5 linked regions of the Sus scrofa genome follow. The protein of the gene in region 5 interacts with the protein of the main gene of each other region in a biochemical or structural test. Links are inferred from orthologs where the notes say so. Each region holds a gene or a part of one and is shown on either strand. Other genes may lie near its edges.

Evidence for each region. The genes of interacting proteins can lie anywhere in the genome.
Region 1: the proteins of SP1 (region 5) and KLF10 form a complex in vitro, tested with the Homo sapiens proteins (2 studies listed by BioGRID). The link is inferred for Sus scrofa from reciprocal best matches to the Homo sapiens genes SP1 and KLF10.
Region 2: the proteins of SP1 (region 5) and NR2F1 form a complex in vitro, tested with the Homo sapiens proteins (2 studies listed by BioGRID). The link is inferred for Sus scrofa from reciprocal best matches to the Homo sapiens genes SP1 and NR2F1.
Region 3: of the proteins of SP1 (region 5) and CDK1, one has a biochemical effect on the other in vitro, tested with the Homo sapiens proteins (2 studies listed by BioGRID). The link is inferred for Sus scrofa from reciprocal best matches to the Homo sapiens genes SP1 and CDK1.
Region 4: the proteins of SP1 (region 5) and HTT form a complex in vitro, tested with the Homo sapiens proteins (2 studies listed by BioGRID). The link is inferred for Sus scrofa from reciprocal best matches to the Homo sapiens genes SP1 and HTT.

The regions. Positions count from the first base shown.
Region 1 is NC_010446.5:34,428,916-34,432,931, reverse strand, and holds the start of KLF10 (Krueppel-like factor 10), read right to left. Parts: upstream 2,801-4,016; 5' UTR 2,677-2,800; coding exon 2,641-2,676; intron 1-2,640.
Region 2 is NC_010444.4:100,446,373-100,450,460, forward strand, and holds the start of NR2F1 (COUP transcription factor 1), read left to right. Parts: upstream 1-1,288; 5' UTR 1,289-1,531; coding exon 1,532-1,991; intron 1,992-2,175; exon of another isoform or gene 2,176-3,720; coding exon of another isoform or gene 3,721-3,733; intron 3,734-4,088. UniProt on the Homo sapiens protein: Coup (chicken ovalbumin upstream promoter) transcription factor binds to the ovalbumin promoter and, in conjunction with another protein (S300-II) stimulates initiation of transcription. Binds to both direct repeats and palindromes of the 5'-AGGTCA-3' motif.
Region 3 is NC_010456.5:64,232,552-64,236,788, forward strand, and holds the start of CDK1 (cyclin-dependent kinase 1), read left to right. Parts: upstream 1-1,437; 5' UTR 1,438-1,530; exon of another isoform or gene 1,531-1,544; intron 1,545-1,679; exon of another isoform or gene 1,680-1,724; intron 1,725-3,829; 5' UTR 3,830-3,854; coding exon 3,855-3,891; intron 3,892-4,237. UniProt on the Homo sapiens protein: Plays a key role in the control of the eukaryotic cell cycle by modulating the centrosome cycle as well as mitotic onset; promotes G2-M transition via association with multiple interphase cyclins.
Region 4 is NC_010450.4:1,808,571-1,812,567, reverse strand, and holds the start of HTT (huntingtin), read right to left. Parts: upstream 2,801-3,997; 5' UTR 2,657-2,800; coding exon 2,421-2,656; intron 1-2,420.
Region 5 is NC_010447.5:18,587,461-18,591,562, reverse strand, and holds the start of SP1 (transcription factor Sp1), read right to left. Parts: upstream 2,801-4,102; 5' UTR 2,623-2,800; coding exon 2,616-2,622; intron 2,114-2,615; exon of another isoform or gene 1,712-2,113; intron 1,536-1,711; coding exon 1,381-1,535; intron 1,048-1,380; coding exon 1-1,047. UniProt on the Homo sapiens protein: Transcription factor that can activate or repress transcription in response to physiological and pathological stimuli.

The sequences.
Region 1 (4,016 bases), on a different chromosome or scaffold from region 5:
TTCCTTTTTTACAATTTGCACAAACTTTTCAAGATAAAATCTGAAATAACTTTTCCTCATCCCTCCTCTGATAGTGATAAAATCTTCCTCATTCTTCCTCTGACACTTAGGCCTGAAGACTGATACCCTTGCAAGGTGAGGAGGACCTTATCCTTATTACCTCTCAGGGGACCAAGGCCAAAGGTACCAATTAATTTGAAATCTAAAAGAGACCCATTTGGCTTATAAGAAAAAAAAGGTTTTATATTCTTTCCAGAGTAGCCACCTGCAACAGGAGTCAGACAAAATAAGGGAAGGCTCTGCAAAACTCATTAAAAAAAATACAGGTTATGGCATGAGATCTTTTCAGATATTTTTTCCTAACGGGGAGGAGAGGCCAAAATTGATGATAAATAACAGCGCATGCTTTATATTTATCAACTCCTATCGGGTATTTAATGCTTGATGTTAATGCTCCTTCTATCGGGTATTTAATGCTTCATATTAAACTGCACCAAAAAAAAAAGGTACTACCCTCCATCTTATTCTTTTTTTTTGTGGTCTCATTCTTTCGTCAAAGTAGAGGTTGTGTAAAAAAAAAAAAAAAAGAGCATTCTTTATGTTGCAAGGTATTATTCTTAACGCTTGTTTAAAAAAATGCATAAACCCTTCATGTTGAAACCCTAAGAAAACGACCATTTCTCTTGAAATATCGCTAACTATGCAATTGCATAATCCCGCGCCCTTTATGTAAGCTGCAGCGGACAGCGCATGTTTGTGTAAAAGCCTCAAGACGCCAAAGCAAAGCAAAAAAGAGAAAAGGCAGGCAGCCGGGAAGCAGAGTACGAGGTGGGAAGGGCCGGAAAAGAAGCCGGGAGGGGAGGAGGACTGGGAGTGGGGCGCTAGGCAGGAAAGGGAAGCGCGGGCGGAGGCGCGGGCGGGGGAGGCAGACGAGGGGCGGGGGCGGACGGCGGGGGAGATCCTCGCTGGCGGGGACAGACAGATGGGGCCGCCCTAACCTCAATGAGGCTCGCGGGTGAGTCACTGGGAACATTCCTCGCCGCTCGCACGTCCCCGCTTCCCTGCCTCCGCCATTGGCCAGCTGGCCGGGCGGCCCGGGCTGGGATTGGCTGGGCCTCGGAGGGCGGGGCGCGGAGGAGGAGGAGGAGGGGGCGAGGCATGTGAACAAAGCGTGATCAGCGGCTGCTCCGGGCGGCGCAGGAAACGTGAACTGGGAATTGCCGCGCCGTCACCTTTCACCTACTTCCTGAGCCCGCGGGCCCCCGCCCTCGCGCCGGGCCGGGGGAGGGGCCGCGGGCGCCGCCGCCAACCGCCCGGCAGTGCGCGCCCCAGCCCGCGGGGAGGGGCGGGGCCCTGGGCCGGGGAGCGCCCGCCCCTTCCAACTCCCAGCGAGCCGCCGTTCCCTTAGGAACCGACAGCGGGGCCGGGCTTTGCTCCCGCCCCTGGCGGAGGCCGGAGCTGGGTCACTCGGGGACGAGAAGCTCCCCGAGCGCACCCGCTCCCGGCCCACCCCCAGCCTCCGCCTCAGCTGCCGGGGGAGGAGCCGGGTCCCCGCGGAAACCCGGCCCCCGCCCTCCTCCGGCCGCAGCCCCCGGGGACCTAGCCGAGCCCTCTGCGCTTCCCGCCCACGCCGCCCGCGGGATTTCGGACCACCCTGACTCTCCCCGAAGATGCGGCGCCCCCTCCCCGAGGTTTCCTGCAGCTCCGGCCCCAGCCCGTTGCGCATCTCCACGAGTTCCCAGACGTGCAGCCCCAACAGGCCCCGGCTCCAGACGCGCGGCCCCACGGCCTGCGGCTCCCGCCTTAACACGCTGCCCCCGCGTCTCGCGGCCCGGCTCCCCCCGCCCACCTTCTCCGCCCTGCTGCTGGGTCCCGCTTCCCACCCTCACATCGCCGAGGCGGCTCTCTGCCCCCTCCGAGAGGTGCTCAGAGTGTGGCCACCTGCCTGCCCCGGGAATGGGAAGTCCCTCCAGACGTCGGGGGGGGGGCAACTCCGCGGCCCCCCTCAGGGGTCCCGGGGCCGCGTGCCATCCCCCACGCTCCTGCCAGTCGCCCCTCCCCCAGTGGTCGGCTATCTGCTGAGCAGCCCCCGTCCCGCAAGCCTCCGTTCAGACCGCCTAAATGGGGAGCCCCCTTTCCTCTCCTGCGGACACCTTGCCCCGCAAATCCTCGCAAGCACTACTCTCCCACCCTGGGTTGCATTCCTGATCTAGACAGAGGCAGCTCTCTACAGCACCAGGTGCAGGGTGGCCCCCTCACCCCCCTCCTCCTTCCACACCTCCTATCCTCGCTGAAAGGGTAGCAGCCCCCACCCCACTCTTGCCACCCCTCCAGTCATCCTCCCCCTCACCTGCTTCAGGTCTCCCGGCAGAGCTGACCCTTTCCCTCATTACACCTAGAGCAAGAACCCCCTCTCCCTTCGTCTCTAGACCCCAGCCTGCTTCTCCTGACCCTCTTCACTACGCACGCCGTCACTAAAGACCGGTCTGCACACAGAAAGCCCCTTCCTCTCCTACGACTCCACTGCAGCCCCCGTCCTCCGGCGTGGCTGATGTCACGGGGCTCAGGCTTCGCGCCCCCCGGGGGCCCCTCAGACGCAGCATAGGCCAGGAAGGACAGGGGCATCCCCAGGTGACTTACCGCAGCTTGCTGGAGAGAAGCGCCGAAGTTGAGCATGGTTGGCTGCCTGGCCGCCCGCGGCGAGCTGACTGGCTGCTAGGCTGGTTGGCTGCCTGGCCACAGACGGGCGCCCAGAGACACTCGACGCCACTCCCGCCGCCGCCGCGCTCCGCGCCGTCTGCCCCCTCCCCATTCAGGTAGCTGCTCCGCCTGCCCCGCGCCGCGGGAGGGGGTGGGGGCGGAGCCTGCTATCGGCCAATCAGCGACAAAGGTGTGTGAGGCGCCGGCCAATGGGCTAGCGGAGCCACGCGTGATCAGCGGCTGCCCGGCAGCGTGAAGCTTGTGTCAGTGGAGCGTGTACACAATCCCCGGCAGCGTGTTCCCTCGGCCCAGCCCGAGGGAACTCCCGCCGCCACCTGACTCAGTGACACCGCCCCCACCCCTCATCCACGCCCCCGCCTGTAGTTCCCCCTCCCTGGCCTGGGTGGGGGGCGGCGCTGAGAACGGGGGCCTAGCCCGGAGGCGCGGCAGCGGCGGCGCGCCCAGGGACTGCGGAGGGCCGGCCCCACGTGGGAGGTGGGGAAGGATGCCCGCTCCGCCCTGTCCCCGCCGCACGAGGCCCCATCTCGGCTCTCCGCGGGGTAGGCGGGACGCCGGGTAGCCAGGCGGGGGAGGCAGTGGCTGCAAGCCAAGGGTCCCGAGCCAAGAGATTTGCATTTGGAAGCGCCGTCCCCTTGCGCGTCTGGCGAGAAAACAGAGCCCGGTGACCGACTGAGCTGCATTTTTGGAGCATTTGCAGGGTTCTGACTCGCAGAGCCCTGGATAGCACCAAGGGAGGGTAGGAGAGGGAAGGGAATCCTGTCACTATGCGGACACCTGCTCCTGCGCCCCCCGCCCACGCCAGGGCCGGCGGCGCGGGCTCGCCCTCTCCATCTGCGCTGCCTGCGGCATTGCCCGCCCCCGTCCGCCCCGCCCATCCTTCCTCCTGGGCGGTGGAGAGAATGCTGTGGGGACGGCAGGAAGCCCCGAGAACTAGACCAAGGGGGTGATGGGGAGCCATAGACTAGAGTTCTTATCTTTCTCTGGCGCCGGCGCTCGTTTGCAGAATCGAGTTTTGAGCTCGCTCTAAAGTTTAAATTGCAGTCTACCAGCTGTTTCAAAGGTAGACCCTACCCCCACACACACCCCAGGCCAAGGCCTCCGGAAACGCTCTGCCAGGAAACTGCTGCTGGGGATGGGGTGGGGATGCGGTGGGGCGGGGTCTTCTAGGGTCGCCTGGCGCCAGGCAGGGCACGCCTGCGGGTGGGTTGCAGTGGAAATGCCCATCAAATCAAAGACACAATCCCCACCCCCACCCCACCCCAACCCCACCCCCGTCCCCGGCCGGCGAAAGCACC
Region 2 (4,088 bases), on a different chromosome or scaffold from region 5:
CAGAGGAGTGAGGGCTAAACTTAAGGGAAAAAAAAAAAAAAAAGAGGAGGAGGAGGAGGCACCCCCTTCGTATTCTTCTTATCGTTATTTTATACATATATGATTTTTTTTGGAGGGAGGGTGTTGGTTCCCGGCTGAAGAGCACTTATTTAAAATACTAAAAAAAGAACATTTTTGGGCGATCTCCAGGGTTTTTTTAACTAGCTCTGTGTGTTATAGCAGAAGAAGCAGAAGAAGGAGCAAGAAAGAGGAAAAGAAGAGGATTATTTATTCGACCTACTTTGGATGTCTCTTTCGCTTTTTTTTTTTTTTTTTTTTTTTTGCAATTCTTTTTCTTCTGATTTTTATTTTTTCTATTTCGCTGTGAAATCGTCGCCGGCGTGAATTATCTCGTATTTTTTTCTCCCTCTGTCACCTCCCGAAAGAAGAAGGCAGCGAGAGCCCGGCGCCACCCGCACAACAAAAAGAGCAAAGTGTGTGATCCTCCTCGCTGGCTGCCTTCTGCTCTCCAGCGCTGCCTTCCTGAATGGCTGGCTGCGTCCGGCCCTGGACCTGGCCCCCCGACACCAGCGCGCCCTGATCGCCGCCGGCAGCCTCGCCCCGCGCCCTGCTCGGCTCACCGCGCTCCCCTCAATCCCGAGCCCAGCGAGGGCTCCCGCCGGGACAGCGGCGGCGGTGCGGGCGGCCCCGACCTGGGCTCGCGCTCCTCTGGCTGCAGCCCCGACTCCAGCTCGGACTCCGGCCCGGGCCCGGGCTCCTCCAGCGGCGCTCGGCGCTGCAGCTGAGGCGGCAGCTCCAGAGGCGCCGGCAGCCGCGACCTCCTCCTCCTCCGCCGCCGCCGCCGCCCTCGCCCGCTTCCTCTATGTCTGCTCCGCCGGCGCGCAGCGCGTAGCCCGAGCGGCCGGCAGGCGGGCGGGCGCCCGGCGCGGGTGAGCGAGTGTGTGTGCCAGTGTGTGTGTGCGCGGGGGTGCGGGCGAGGCGGAGGGTGAGTGTGTGCGCGCGCCGTGGCCCATGCCCGCCGCCCCCGGCGCTGCGCCCCGCGCCGCTCCCGGCTGCCGCCTGTGCCATTTCTGATTTTGCAACTTGGGGAAGAAGAAAAAAGCGAGAGAAGGGAGCTTGGTCGCTGGGGGGGGTGGGGAGGGGGGGAAGGAGAGCGTGGCCCCCCAGGATCAGAGCGCGGGGGGAGCGGGCGAGGGGAGCAGGGGTGTTGGGGGGGGAGCCTGAGAGCCTGGGGGGCTGCAAAAAGAGAGAAAGAAAACAGCAGGAACCACAACAAAACGCCAGCAGGGCGGGCGGGCGCGCAGCAGCAGCGGGGCGGCCGAGGCAGTAGCGGCGGCAGCGGCGGCGGCGGCAGAAGCAGCGGCCAGTGCCCGGCTCGGGCTCCGCTCCCGCGACCCCGGGGCGCCGGGCGGGCCCCCCGCCCCCTCCCCCTCCCCCCTTCCCCTTCCCCTTCCCCTCCCAGCGCGCCCGCGCGCCCCACGGCCCTCGGCGAGCAGCTCGGCTCCCCCCAGCGCTCCCCGGGCCCAAAGATATGGCAATGGTAGTTAGCAGCTGGCGAGATCCGCAGGACGACGTGGCCGGGGGCAACCCCGGCGGCCCCAACCCCGCAGCGCAGGCGGCCCGCGGCGGCGGCGGCGCCGGCGAGCAGCAGCAGCAGGCGGGCTCGGGCGCGCCGCACACGCCGCAGACCCCGGGCCAGCCCGGAGCGCCCGCCACCCCCGGCACGGCAGGGGACAAGGGCCAGGGCCCGCCTGGCTCGGGCCAGAGCCAGCAGCACATCGAGTGCGTGGTGTGCGGGGACAAGTCGAGCGGCAAGCACTACGGCCAATTCACCTGCGAGGGCTGCAAAAGTTTCTTCAAGAGGAGCGTCCGCAGGAACTTAACTTACACATGCCGTGCCAACAGGAACTGTCCCATCGACCAGCATCACCGCAACCAGTGCCAATACTGCCGCCTCAAGAAGTGCCTCAAAGTGGGCATGAGGCGGGAAGGTGAATATTTCTTCTGTGCTTCTCTCCCTGAGCTTCGCCCGCCTCCCCGGCCCTCTTTCTTTCTCTCTCTCCGGCGGGGGTGGCTGCTGTATGAGGCTGGGGCTCCTGCGGTCCCGGCCCGTCCCAGCTTCCCCTGTCCCCGCTGCCTTCCTCCCCCGGCGTCCCCCCCCCTTCTCCCCAGCTCGCTGCCGCTGCCTCCCCCTCCCGGCCTGCGCTCCACTCCCCGGCTCCTCCACCCCGCCCGCTGCCTGCTCAGGATTGAGTCCCTGGGATCGTGAGCTGTGGCTTAAAATCCCCTTCCTCTGTCTTGGATGTGCTCGGTGTGTGTCTCTTTCCCGCGTGTGCGTGAGGATGCTCGGGGCTGTGCTGGCATGTACTTGGGGAGGGGTGCTTTTTCCCCCAGAAAACTCTGTTTCTGTGTTTTTTCATTCCACTTTTCCCTCCACCTCTTCATGCCCTTTATTTAAAATGGGGGAGGGCTGGAGACTGGAGTACTCTGAACCATAGATTCATTACTGCATCATCCTTTTGGAAGCTTAGCTTGGGAAAAGAGGAGTGAGATTTATTGCACTTGTAGGTCTAATTAGGGGGGAAGGGGGGCTTCTGGCCTGTTCACTGGTTCCCTCTCCTCTTCACCGAGCTGGGGCCGCCTCCTCCAGAGCTGTGGCCTTGTTTTCACCCCTCTACTTTGAAAGGAAAGTTTGTGACTGAACCGTGCTTTCATAGTGTGTCATTTTTTTTTAAAGCATGATACTCGTTTTATTTCTTCATCAAACTCCACCCTCTGCTTAAATACTGCATACAAATTACAATTTACAGCGGCATTTACCGATCCTTCTGATTTGGCTATAATGCATAGACTGCAGCTGGCATGAGCTTCCACATCATTTAATCCCTGTGTTGTATGGATTTGGTTTCTTTTAACACAACTTTTGATGTTGTATTTAGATATGCTTCATGTTCATGTGGCAAGAGATGCAGCACTTTTCTTATAAATATATCTAGCCATTTACAGTTAAAGTTTATCTCCTGACAATCATTAAAGATGTCTTATAGTCAAATTAGCGAACCAGTCAATTTTGCAGAATGCAGATTACTCCTTCTTGTAATTGACTTTAAAATTATATTTTATATGCCACAAGAAAAGAAATTGAATTCCTTCAGACCTCAAGGAAAAGGCAAATATGATGACTTCATTTCTAGCTCCAGGGAGATTTTGTAGGCATCTGAAAAAAAAAAAAACTTTGAATTGTATTCTCATTTAATTGAAAAATAACTGCCAAGTTCAAAACTATAATTAGAAAAAAGTATTCTAGCCATTATGTCTCAAGAGCTTAAATTGCATTGGGACTTGCATTAAAATTAGAATCAAAGCAAACTTAAGAAAATAGTATACAACCTGAAGTGAGATAGCTACGTGTACATGGACATATCTATATTAATTTGTTTGGGGGAGAGTTCAGTAGCCCTAACTTTTCCTAAAGTTGTCTTTGTTTACATGGCAATTTAAAACGCTGGCACTGTTGAAGTAAAACATACACATTAAAAAAAAAAAAAACTTTGGTCAGCTTTAAGAACTCAAAGCATGCTTACGTTTTGCATTCAGATGGTTAATGAATCCAGTGTTTTGCAGTTGCAAGCTCGTGCATTCACTGGGCAAAAGCTGGCTGCAGGTTGCAGTGGCACCGCGCAGGACAGACATTAATTATATTTCCCACTTTTTTCAATAATGTTTGGCTACTGTAAGTTCAACTTTTTCTTGAAATTTTTCAATTTTCTGTTGCTTTTAACAGTGAGAACTTTGTGTGGGGCGATGGGGAGGAGGGGATAGGGGAGGGGTGCAGGATACTTGTTTTCTGTTCAAAAGTTGTAAATGCTTAGTAGGGTATGTAACTTGTATCTATTTCAAGGATAATTCCATAGCATTTTTAGATAATATGGCAACATTTTGAGCAAAACCTGCTTGCTTGTAAATGAAGAGGCAGCTAGACATTTGCCTAGAACCACAACCTTTCTTTGGTTTCGCCTGTTTTTGTTTTTGTTTTACCCTGATTTGGTACTTTTTGGAGGGGTGAGTGGGATTTCATTAATCTGTGT
Region 3 (4,237 bases), on a different chromosome or scaffold from region 5:
CCTCCCAAGAGAAAGATATATATATTTATTCGGTAAAATTAGTACACTAAACTACCAGAAAGCAGTCTTCTTCTCTAGAGCTTTTCTCCAGGGGCAGTTTTCATTTAAAATGTGAATTTGAAATTTTAGAAATAGGTTTTAAAGGTTATTAGGTTCAGGCCAAGATTTCCCAACCCCCTATCTCCACCATGAATCCCAAATGCTCTGCCTCTGATACCCAGGAGCACAAAGTTTCCAAGGCTGAGGGTTTGTGCCATATATAGGGCCGGATGACAGATGCTGCTCCTTGCATAATAAGGTATTAAAAACATAAATGCCTGTGGTATACTAGCTCCTTTCCTTAGCCTAACTTGAGTCATCTAACATATAACTGTAGAGGTCATGGTAATGATTTTTTTGTCCTACATTCCATTAGGGTCAGTGCAAAGACTCTTATCCCTTATTCTATTTTGCTCTTTTATCTCCCTAAGGACTTAAGAATGGTGTTCAGGTGCAGAACTCCCTCTTTAGGATATGGTGGAAGGCAATGAAAGAGTTTTGGGACACTGGATTATTTAAAGTATGATTTAGATCTCTTTCTTCCCTCATAGAAATGTGAACTCTTTTTTTATTTATAATTTATAATATAAATTTATAATTCTCATGTAAGAATATTTTAAAAATGTTTTAAACGTGGATCCAACACCACAGCCAGGGCGACGCTGGATTCTCCATGCACTGAGTGAGGCCAGGGATCTTCCTGGGTACTAGTCGGATTTATTACCCCTGTGCCACAACGGAAACTCCCTGTTTTTAGTTTTTAAATAACATTTTAAATAGACAAAATAATTTAAATTTAAAAAGTGAGGTTAAAAACATAACATAGTCAACATGTGTGTAATGTAAAAATAGTAAAGTCCAATGTGTATATGTGTGTGTGTGTGTGATATAAAGTTTTTCTTTACATTGATCAGGACATCTTTGAGTTTTCTATTATTTCCTTGAGGTAACTGAAATGTCCTTTGGCCCAGCCTGAGAGTTATTAATTTAGAAAAACACAAATGTGAGCTAGCTTTAAGAATTTTAAGTGAAAGTAATGGGATCTAGATTAAGTGTGTTATCACTTTTCTGATGAGGTATTTGAGTACAATAAATTTTAAATGTGCCAGTATTGTGAGGGGAAAAAAGCCAACCCCTGGCGAACAGTAGATTTCTGATGACTTGAAACAGTAGGACGACGCTTTCTTGGAATGGAAGACAGCGCTTGCGCTCACACTCAGTTGGCGCCCGCCCTCCTGCTTTTTCTCCAGCCGCCGTTTCCTCCTTCTTTCGCGCTCTAGCCACCCAGGAGGTCCAGCCCAAGAGCAGCTGGGCTCTGATTGGATCCTTTGAAAGTCTACGGGCTACCTGATTGGTGGATCCAGGACCCTTTAGCGCGGTGAGTTTGAAACTGCTCGCACTTAGCTTTTCAAAGCTGGCTCTGGGAGCTTAAGGAGAGCGACGCTGACGTGGTAGCCCTGCCGCCGCTTTCGTCGCAGGATAATAAGCTGGGTAGAGTCGCTGGGGTCAGGGTCATGCTTATGGGGCGTTCAGTTGGCAGGGGAGGTTCGCGGGCCTCGGAGGGGGAGTGTTAAGGAACCGGGTGAGAATTAGGAGGCTGGGCCCTGGGCAGCAAGGGTCTGCGTGTGGCCAGCCGGGACCTTTATCTGGGGCCTGGGCGTGTGAGTGACGCCGAGGTCCGTCATGAGAGCGAGGCTTGGGGGAGCCCAGCCCTGGCAGGATTACTCCGGCCGGGCTGGGGTTGCTCTGGCCTCGGAATTTAGCCTGGGGTCGCGGGCGGCTGAGGAGGCTTTGAGGTCATGGTTGAAGCCGAATCCGCGCATTCGACGTTGCCAAGTGCTTGCCGAGTGCCAGGCTCGGCCTTCGGTCCTGCAGTTCCCCCCGTCCCTGGTGCGCCTTGCCCTCGCCTCTGGGCGTGGAAAGCAAGGCCGCACCTGGGCCAGGTACCCGAACCTCTTCCTGATCCCAGGACGCCCCTGGAAACCGATTGGATGAACTAACTTGTGGGTCTTCTCAGGCTTGCGTCTGTGCCTGTGACCCTAGCCCACCTAGAGCTTTAAGGAAGACTTAGCCAAGGCATACAGCCCGAGAGAACTTGGATTTGTTTTAATTTGTTTTTATGCTTGGTGGTTGTTATATACCATGGAGTTGGTAAAGAGTAGATATCTAAGAAAAGCCTACAGCTAGAAACGTGTGTTTTTAAATCCTATAGTCAATTTTTACCTAATAACTTGTACGTCTTGCTTCCTCTAAAGACCTGGAGGTCTCTGTAGATGAAGTCTTGGTATTTCAAGGCCGGCTATACTCAAATTCCGAAGCTGCTATCTTTATTTCAAATAGTTACAACCGGAGAATGGAGGGAGAGTAATTGAACCCAGCGTTGAGATGGAGTTAGTTTTTAGTTATTTGTTTAACCTGAGCTTAACAATTTTATTGTGCTTTAGGCATATTAAATCTGGATATTGAGGAAAAGATAATTATCTTCATCGTCCACTGCCATTTGTAAAATTAAACCTTTCTAGGATGGCAAGTGTAGTGCAATTTTAATTCATTTAGAAAGATCTATTTCTGCTTATTTCTGGAATGATTTTGAAGATGAATGTGAGAAATAGAATCTACGGGTCAAATTACTCAGAGTGACCTTTGTATATAAGCTTATCAGTGATTGTATTATAAAATTAGATTTTGAGCTTCTGAAGTAAATGGTTGACAGGCAAACTAACCAGCCAAGACTTAACAGGAAGTCTTGTATCTGATTATCATTTCAGCTTTTTTTTTTTTTAAGCCTTTATTGTTCTTGTCTGTTGTGTGGGGTATAGATTTTTTTTCCCCCCTGTGGAATTGTACCTTTTCTTTTAGAGTGCTTAGTGATATTTCCTGCCTTACCCTCCAAATTTTTATCCTGTGTGACTGCTGAGAACAGGAGAATGATTAAAACTGTCACTTGAGCGAGCTGAAACACTTTTGCTATTTTAAACACTAATGAAAAAAAAAAAAGAGCCGCGTTGTCTGCCTGCTTGTATCTTTCACAAGCATCCTATCTTAATAAATCTATTTCTTGCATTAAAAAACCCCCCAAAAAACCCATAATGAGCGAGCAGTGTCACATTTTAACTCCCTGCTCATGCCTTTAAAAATTGTTTAAAAATTATCTTCATAAAAATATCATAAATCTATACAAATTCAGTCAAATAACATTCTTTGTTAAAGTATTTGGGTACAACTCTGACACATATTGTTGGTGCTCCTTTTTTTTTTTTTTTTTTTTTTGTCTTTTGAGGGCCACACCCGCAGCCAGGAAGTTCCCAGGCAAGGGGTCCAATCAGAGCTGCAGCTGCCGACCTGCGCCACAGCAACGCCAGATGCCATCCGCTTCTGCGACCTACAGCTCTCAGCAAAGCCAGATCCTTAACCCACTGAGAGAAGCCCGGGATCGAACCCGCAACCTCATGGTTCCTAGTTGGATTCATTCTGCTGTGCCACTGGGGGAACTCCTGGTGCCCTTTAAAAGTGTTACATGAAGAGAACATCTGTCTAAATTTGAGGGTTTGGAAGGCACTAAATGTTACACTAGTATAGGATATACAATTATTTCCAGTGTTTTCATGAGCTAAGGTGGGAGAGTTTTTAGTTCTTTCCCATGTAAATATTGTTTTAATATAAGATTTATGGAAAATTAATACTGCACTAGGCACTGTGGAAATACTTCCCTTTAGTATCTCATTAATAACTTAAAATTGCCCTTTGAGTTTGTGGCATGTAATCAAGTCCATTTTTCCTCTCATTTTAGGATCTACCACATCCACTGAGTAACTATGGAAGACTATACCAAGATAGAGAAAATTGGAGAAGGTGAGTAGTTTTAATAATATACAAGGTTTTTTTTTTTTTAATGATTTAATGATGCTGCAGCATCCTTGACATGAAGACGTGAACATTCATTAAAGAATGAATGTTCTATAGGTACCTTACAGTACATTAGTACATTAATACATATGTTCTTTACATGATAATTGAAACATAAAAATGTTCCCAGTTCAGGAGAATTGAAATTATTTTCGCATGTGTCCCCAACAGCCCCCTCCAATAATCTTACATTCTTCTAAGACAAATGCTTAAAGCAATATTTGTATTTTGAATCCTATTGATATCTTGTAGGTGTGGTTGGGAGAGTGTTCATGCAGTGGAATTAGGTACT
Region 4 (3,997 bases), on a different chromosome or scaffold from region 5:
GAAAAGAATGGGAGCTACTTTACTTACTTTTTGCAATTTTGGAATTTGTATCAAGTGACTGTGTTATTCATGCAAAAAAAAATCAGGTTCCGTTTAAAATAAGTCAATCATACATTTCCTTACAATAAAACAGTGAAACAAAATCTACTTCATCAAGCTAGCTTAAGAAGGAAGTTCCCATCGTGGCGCAGCAGCAGAAAGTTGCTGTGGTGGCGCATCGGAAATGAATCCGACTAGGAACCATAAGGTTGCGGGCCTTGCTCAGTGGGTTAAGGATCTAGAGTTGCCATGAGCTGTGGTATAGTTCCCAGAGGTGGCTCGGATCCTGCATTGCTGTGGTTTAGGCTCCCAGCTGTAGCTCTGATTGGACCCCTAGCGTGGGAACTTCCATGTGCTGCAGGTGCAGCCCCAAAAAGCAAAATAAATAAAAAATTTTTAAAATTTAGGCATTCCTGTCGTGGCTCAGTGGTTAATGAATTCAATGAGGAACCATGAGGTTTCGGGTTCGATCCCTGGCCTCATTCAGTGGGTTAAGGATCTGGTGTTGCTGTGGCTGTGGTTGTAGGTCGGCGGCAACAGCTCTGATTAGACCCCTAGCCTGAGAACCTCCATATGCTGCAGGAGCGGCCCTAGAAAAGACAAAAAGACAAATAATAATAATTATAAATTTTAAAACAATTTTTTATTTTAAAAATTTAAAAAAGGAAACCTCTTTACACCCGTATTTTGAAGAAGATAAGCAAATTCAGGTTCTGTCAAATCAGCATAAGAAGCAGAAGGCATATTTTTAGGCTGACCAAGTGATTGCACGAGCAGACAGGGACAGCAGTAGAACCTCCTCCCTACACAGAGCCCCACTAGTGCTTCCCCTGTTTATACAAGGTCCCAACCACGTGTTAACTTCATGACATCCACCTGCAGGAGATGCACTACCATGAAAGTCTGCGATGGGTTATGGTTATAAATTACTTGCTGCAGAGGTAAAGCAAACTGTTAAAAAATATTTTTTTCCCCTCTGAGTATTCAAAAGACCTTTTCTAGAAGAAAAAAATTATTTCTAAATTTTATTCTAACAGATAAGCCAAAATCACTCCTCGACTCTCATTTTCTAACGAAATCTCTGACACAGCAAGGATCCTATCAGAAACATAAAGAAGAAAAGAAGAAAACATTGCTAAGAGTGCATCAGCCTTAACAGAGTGAGCGCCTTAAAGGGGCTGCTTCTTGAAAGCCGTCCTCATGAAATGCCTTCCGTCCACCTTCGGCTCAGACACGAAGTGGCCCGAGGTGAAAGGCTGGCCTGCCGCGGAGCACGCCCCGGCCTCGGCTGAACCACTGGGCACACGGGACTCCAGGGGAAGGGCTTGGGTGCTCTCAGAAGGTGCTCTATGAAATGAAATGTTCGTTTTGGGGTTTTTTTTGCTATTTCTCTGGCCGCTCCCGCAGCATATGGAGGTTCCCAGGCTAGGGGTTCAATCGGAGCTGTAGCCACCGGCCTACACCAGAGCCACAGCAACGCGGGATCCGAACCGCGTCTGCAACCTACACCACAGCTCACGGCAACGCTGGATCGTTAACCCACTGAGCAAGGGCAGGCACCGAACCCGCAACCTCATGGTTCCTAGTCGGGTTCGTTAACCACTGCGCCACGACGGGAGCTCCTGAAATGTTCTTTTTCTGTCTCAAAAATTCTCCCTGGCACAAGCAAGAGACCCCTACTTCCCAACAGCACCGGATGTCAGCGACAGGCGACGCCTGCGGGGTCCCCGGACAGCCACGTTCCCGCACCGCATTCGCCCCCGGCAGTGAACCTCTCCCTCAGCAACACGTCCTTCTCGTTCCCACTGCACACAGGCACTGCACACAGTCAACTCGACCCAATACTCCAGGCAAATTTTAGTTTCTCCCTCGTGACTCATCACCACCTAAACAGCGCACCACGAACTTGGCCACCACAACCCGCTCAAGAGCCTGCAGACCAACGGGAGCGCAGACAAGCTCGGCTCTGGCCGACGCCGAACGCGCTGCGGCTCCGCCCGCGACCCCGCACTCGGGGGGATGCCCGGCGGCAGCGGGAACAGGCTGCTCCAGGGCCTCGGAAAGGACTCGCCATTGGGCCGCGCGCGCCGCCGCCCCCGCCCCGAGGCATGACGTCACCGCTCCCCCGCGGCGCTCCGGCTCGGGTCCCGCTCCTCGCGGCCGGCGGGGCAGGGACCGGAGCCGGCCTCGCTCCGCCAAGCGCTGCTCCCAACACGGCCCCGGCTCCGTCCCTAACCTCGCGGCCGGGACGCCCCGGTGCCTCCGGGGGGGGCCGGCGAGGCTCCGCGCCCTGCGGGGGGCCGAGACCCACGCAGGGCCGGGGAGGGGCTCGGGGTCGCCCCGTCGCCGCGGGCCGGGGTCTGCAGGGGGCCCGCACTCACGGTCGGTGCAGCGGCTCCTCGGCCACTGCCGGGCCGGGCGGCGGCGGCGGCGGGGGCGGGGGCGGCGGCGGCTGAGGCGGCGGCTGCGTCTGCGGTGGCGGCTGAGGAGGCTGAGGCGGCGGTGGCGGCGGCTGCTGTTGCTGCTGCTGCTGCTGCTGCTGCTGCTGCTGCTGCTGCTGCTGCTGGAAGGACTTGAGAGACTCGAAAGCTTTCATCAGCTTTTCCAGGGTCGCCATGGCGGCCTCTCGCCCCGCGGGGACAGCCCCCGAAGCCCTCGGGCCGCCTCGGGGCTCCGCTCAGCAGCGCGGCAATGAATGGGACTCGGGGCCGCAGGCGGGAGCGGAACCGAGGCGCCCGGCCATCTTGGGTCCGTCCCGGCAGCCCCCGCGGCCCTGCGTCCCCCGACGCTCCGCCGGCGGGGCGGGGCCGGACCGGCGGGATTGACAACCAAAGACGGCGGCCTCCGCCAATGACCGGACGAGGCTCCGGCCCGCCCCCCGTGCCCACCGCCTGGCTTCCTAGAGCCCCTGGGAGAGGGGGCGGGGCGCGACGGGGAGGGCGTGAGCGTCACGGCACGTCCGGGAAGGAGCCCCGCCCCCGGGAGGGAGCCCCGCCCGCGGGAAGGATTCTGGGGGATGGCCGGGAGGGTCAGCCCTGGGTGTGGAGCGGGGACCCCCGCGGGGCCGCTTGCCCATCCAGCGGCCGTGGAGGAGGGAAGGTCCTTGGGACAGCCCTGCAGAGGAGGAAGGGGGAAGTGGAGCTAGAAGACCCTCCGGGCGGGAGGCCAGGTGTGACCCCTCGGAGAGGAGCTGGGCCCTGGAAGGAGAGTCAGTAGCCCAAGGGGGAGCTGAAGGCTTCGGGGTAAAAAAAACCTGCCTGGTCAAGGCCCTGCTCCCCAGAGAGGCTGTGGCTGGTGCAGCGAGAAGCCGCTTTGACCCCGGAGATGCCCCCACAGGAGACTGCCCAGCCCACGGCTGTCCACTCCCAGGGCGGAGGCCGACCGGTGTGCAAAGGTCCGGTCTAGGGCTCCAGAGCCTCATCACCTGGAGGGGAGACAGTGGGCAAGCCAGGGGCAGCACGGAGCACACGGCCTCAGGAAAGCCCTCTGGGGCAAGCAGTAGGAAGCCTCCAGAAGTCTTCACCTGATTTCAGAGCCTGTTGTCCCAAAGCAGTCAGGTGAACAGAAACCCAGCATCCCCACAGGAAGCGTTGTCCCCAAGGGGACAGCAATGGGGGCCTCCCTTCAAGGGAAGGATCTCAGAGAAACGTGCTGCCAGCCTTGAGGTCCCTGTTCCCTGGTGTTAATAAAGGCCCTTGTTCACTGGCGAGGCTGCATGCCAGCCTTCATGCAGCACAGGCCACAGTGGCTGAACTCCAGGCTGTCAGGTACTGTGATTGGCAGACTTCTCAGATGGCCCAGTGACCCCCTCCTGCTGCTCACTGCCTTGAAGAAAGAGCCCCCTCCCTTGAGTGTGGGCTGTCACTGGTGGTTCGCTTGCGATTAAGTAAAATTTATATTTTAGGGTGGGGCCCAAAAATGGAAACATAAAGTTCTCTGTCATTTGGCCTCCTCCATC
Region 5 (4,102 bases):
CTGGATAAGAATTTGTTGTTGTTGCTGGGTCTGCTGGTTTTGCTCTCCCTCTTTTTGCTGACTTGCTTGCAGTGAGCCTCCAGATGTCTGGTTCTGCTGGATGTTCAGAGCATCAGACCCCTGTAGCCCACTGACCCTCTGTGGTGTCTGGCCTTGAGAGTTGGTCCCTGTTGATCCGCTGGTGGTAAAGTTCATAATTCCCATGTTGCTGGTGGTAGTAGTTGTTGAGTAGCTATTGGCATTGGTGAAAAAGGAGCTGGAACTGGCTTGTGATGATACCAAACTGGCAGAACTGATGGCAGTCCCGGAGGTGACAGGCTGTGAGCCACTCTCTTGGGACCCGGAGCTGCTAATCGTGACTGCCTGAGAACTAGGAGTCAAGGTAGCTGCAGAAACGCTGTTGACAGGTAGCAAGGTAATATTACCATTCAGGGCCACTGGTACATTGGTCACATACTGAGTCTGTCCTGAGAGTACATTATTAGCTAGGCCTTGGAGGGGGACAGCCTGCTGGAGTAGGTTTGGCATAGCAGCAATGATGTTGCCTCCACTTCCTCGATTTGTGATGATCTGTTGGTTTGCACCTGGTATGATCTGTATCTGACCTGAACCATCCTGCTGTACTTGGGCCCCAGTGGCAGCAAACTGCAGCTGTTGCCCATCAACCGTCTGGAACTGTGGGATTACTTGATACTGAATATTAGGCATCACTCCAGGCAGTCCTGTTAGGACTTGCTGGTTCTGCAGGTTGGATGTGGCAGCCACGACATACTGCCCACCAGAGACAGTGCGATTCTTGGAAGACTCACCACCATTGTTGCCATTGGTACTGCTGCCACTTTGTTCCTTCGAGGTAGGGGTAGCCCCAGAGGAGGAAGAGATGATCTGCCAGCCATTGGCACTCTGGGAGAGCTGTGTGGCTGTGAGGTCAAGCTCACCTGTGCTCCCGGACTGGCCTGGGCCCTGGGAGTTGTTACTGTTTTCATTGGGTGACTCAATTCTGCTGCAGGTTGCTGCCAGCAGAGCCAAAGGGGATGGCTGGGACTCCTGGCCAAAAATAAGGGAGAGGAAAGAGATTAGTTTAGTGACACCAGCTGCCAGCCCTGGGGGCAGTAGAAAAAAATAAACAGTAAAAAAAACCCAAAATAAATAAATAAACAGCAAAACAGTGCCCCCCCCAAGCAAACAAAAAGCCAACCTATCTACACTGCTGAAATTTGAAATTCTCATCTTTGGGGATCTCCAAGTCACTTGTCTCTGTACTTACTTCCCTATCTGTAAATTAGCCCTTTCCTAAAAATTTTTTTGTGAAAAGACAATCATCTAAGAATATCTACATCCTCTCAACACGATGCCCACTCTGTCCAGATGATCACCTACCTGCCCTCCTCCTCCTCCACCGCTGCTGCTACTGCCTGTGCTGCTGCTTCGAGCCTGAGAAAAGGCACCACCATTACCACTGCCCCCATTATTGCCACCAACTCCTTTTTCAATCTTCACCACAGCTGTCATTTCATCCATGGAGTGATCTTGGTCTAAAAAGAATTAAAAGATAACTTAAAGTTGGGGAAAGAAAAAAGATAAAATGAAGAAGGGTAAGGAAGACTAGGACCAAACAAAAATGACTAACAGGAAGGTGAAAGTCCCAGTATTTAAACAAACAAACAAAAAAGGATTGGGGAAGAAGAGACAGCTGTAGGGCTAGGAAGACCTGAACTGGGCCCCTTGGTGCCAAAACTGGGCCGCAGTTCTCCCTCGTACAAAATTAAACTCAGAAAACAATGAAAAGGTGCTTTTGGTATAGACAATGTAAGGGTCCGTGGACATGTTGAAGGAGTTTAAAAGTATCCTGCGGGGAAAAAAAGGAGAAATATAGATAAGGCATAAAACATGTGGGTGGATGGAAAGCTTGCTCAAATTAGGGTCAAAGGAGATGGAGAAAGGGAAGAATTCAAGTGTAGAAAGTCACAAGAGGAAAGGAAGGGGAAGGAGAAAAGATGAGATAAAAAGTTTTGTAGGGGGGAACATTTGTGAATACTAGAAAGGGGCTAAAGAGGTCCAGGGGTTAGAAATCAGGAGTTTCGGGGCGGACAGAGGGCGGGCCCTAGAAGGAAAGGGCGGTTTCGGGGTGAGGGGCGTGGAAAGGGCGGGACGGTAGGGGGAGGGGTAATCTACGGGGGGGAGGGGTAACCTTCGGGGGGTGGGGGGAGGAGGGCCTTGGGGCCGGCGGCGACCAGAGGGCGGACCAGGGAGGCGGTTGGCCCGGGCGGGGCCTGCACTGCTCGGGCCGCCCCCGCGGCTCCAGCCCCCGGCAGGAGGAGCCTCAGGCGGGCGGCCGAGTAGTGGGGGGTAAGGCCCGTCCCCCGTGGCTGGGGCGGGCAGGGGGCGGGCGAGGCCACGCTGCCCCCTCCCCCGGGGCGGGCGGCCCATCCCCCTCCTCCTCCGAGGCCCCGCCACTGCCCCTTCTCCCTCCCTTCCCTCCGCCCCGGGCGGGACCAAGGCCGCCGCCGCCGCCTCCCGCCCGCCCCCCTCACGGCGGGGACCGCCCGGTCGGCCCTCGCGCGCGCCCCCTCACTCCCCTCCCACCCCTAAGCTTGGAGTGGACTCATCCTTACCGCTCATGGTGGCAGCTGAGGGACGAGCTCAAGGGGGTCCTGTCCGGGGGGGTTGGGGGGGCCAGGAAAAACGCGGACGCTGACGAGGCAAGCGAACCCGGACCGGACAGGGAGGGGGGGGTAAAGAGGAGGGAGCAGCGCGCCACAAGCCCGGCCTAGGCCCCGCCCCTCCACTGCTGCCCCGCCCAATAAGGGAGGGTGAAAGGAGGGACTTGCAAAAGAAAGACAGGCAAATTACCCAATGGCGAGACTCGTTTGCTCTCTAAGGCGTGTAAGACAAAGTTGCGTGCGTGGTGTCCGCCCAAAAAGGGCGCCCTCTCAGTTTTAAAAGCCAATGAAAGGTGCAGGAAGTGAAGATAGGCGGGATTTAGAGATGATAGGCTTGGAGAGAAACCAGTCAACTGCCAGGCGGGCTCGCTGAGACGTAGGGATAGGAAGGGTTTTCATTGGAATGACAGAACAGCGACCAACCAAAACCCTGGGCAAGCCTGGGCAAAGTCCTGGTGGGAGGTGGTAAAAAGTAGACAGGAATGGGATAGGATGAAGCTTATCAAAACCAATCAGAAATCAGGCGGGCGGCCAGGAAAATTATGATTGGATTAACACTGAAAAGAGACGCGCTAGGACACAAATTGACGTGAATAAAAGCCAATTGAATGCTGCTTAAACTGTGAGGGCGGGAACCTGGAGTAGGCAGGGGAGAATTGGCGGCTGCTTCAGTCACTCAGCCCAATGAGGCAGCGAGGGAAGCCAGGCACCGCCTCCGGCTTGGCCAATGGGCGTTACTAGAGGCGCCAGTTGTCGGGGAGGTAACAGGGCTGTGCCAAGAGGAGTCCGTCGCCATTTTGGCCCTCCTCTGGGGACGTCTTTACCGTGATTAGGTGGCAAGGCTTCAGCAGAGCCCTGCAATTCAACAAGTGTCAGGGCCGAGCCCCGCGGCGCGTCGCATTTCTTCCTCGACATCAGGGCTTGTTTGAGTCTTCACTTAACCGCTTTTAAAAGTACCTCTCAGGTCTCCCCCCTCCGCGGTGGGCGGACTGGCAGGCGGATGCCTCAGAATATGGTGTAACCCCTGTGGGTGCTGGCGCAAGGAGATCTGGCGAGGGCGCTCATACAGTAGGTTAATAACGCACTGACCAATTTGCAAGGTCTTTGTGAGACTCCAGCAAACGCCATTTTACTAAATTCCCCCAAAGTTGATAGCTACTTAAGGCCGGTTAACTCTTCGAGAGCTTGCTTTTGAGGCTAAAGAGTGTTGGAGGACTTCCTGGAGTTCGAGGTCCTGTAAGCTGCTACCCCACCCCCGCCCCTGCCTCTACCCCGTAATTGTAAATAACGTTTAAACATAAAGCAAGTAGCCAGATAGAGTGCCTGCTTTTTGCAACTGCAAAGGTTAGAGGTGATTTTTCCCGAAACACCTGAATTTCTGGCTACTCATTCTGCCTCTCCTTTACCCTAGTTTTGGTGGAGGCAGCCTGCGTGGCCTG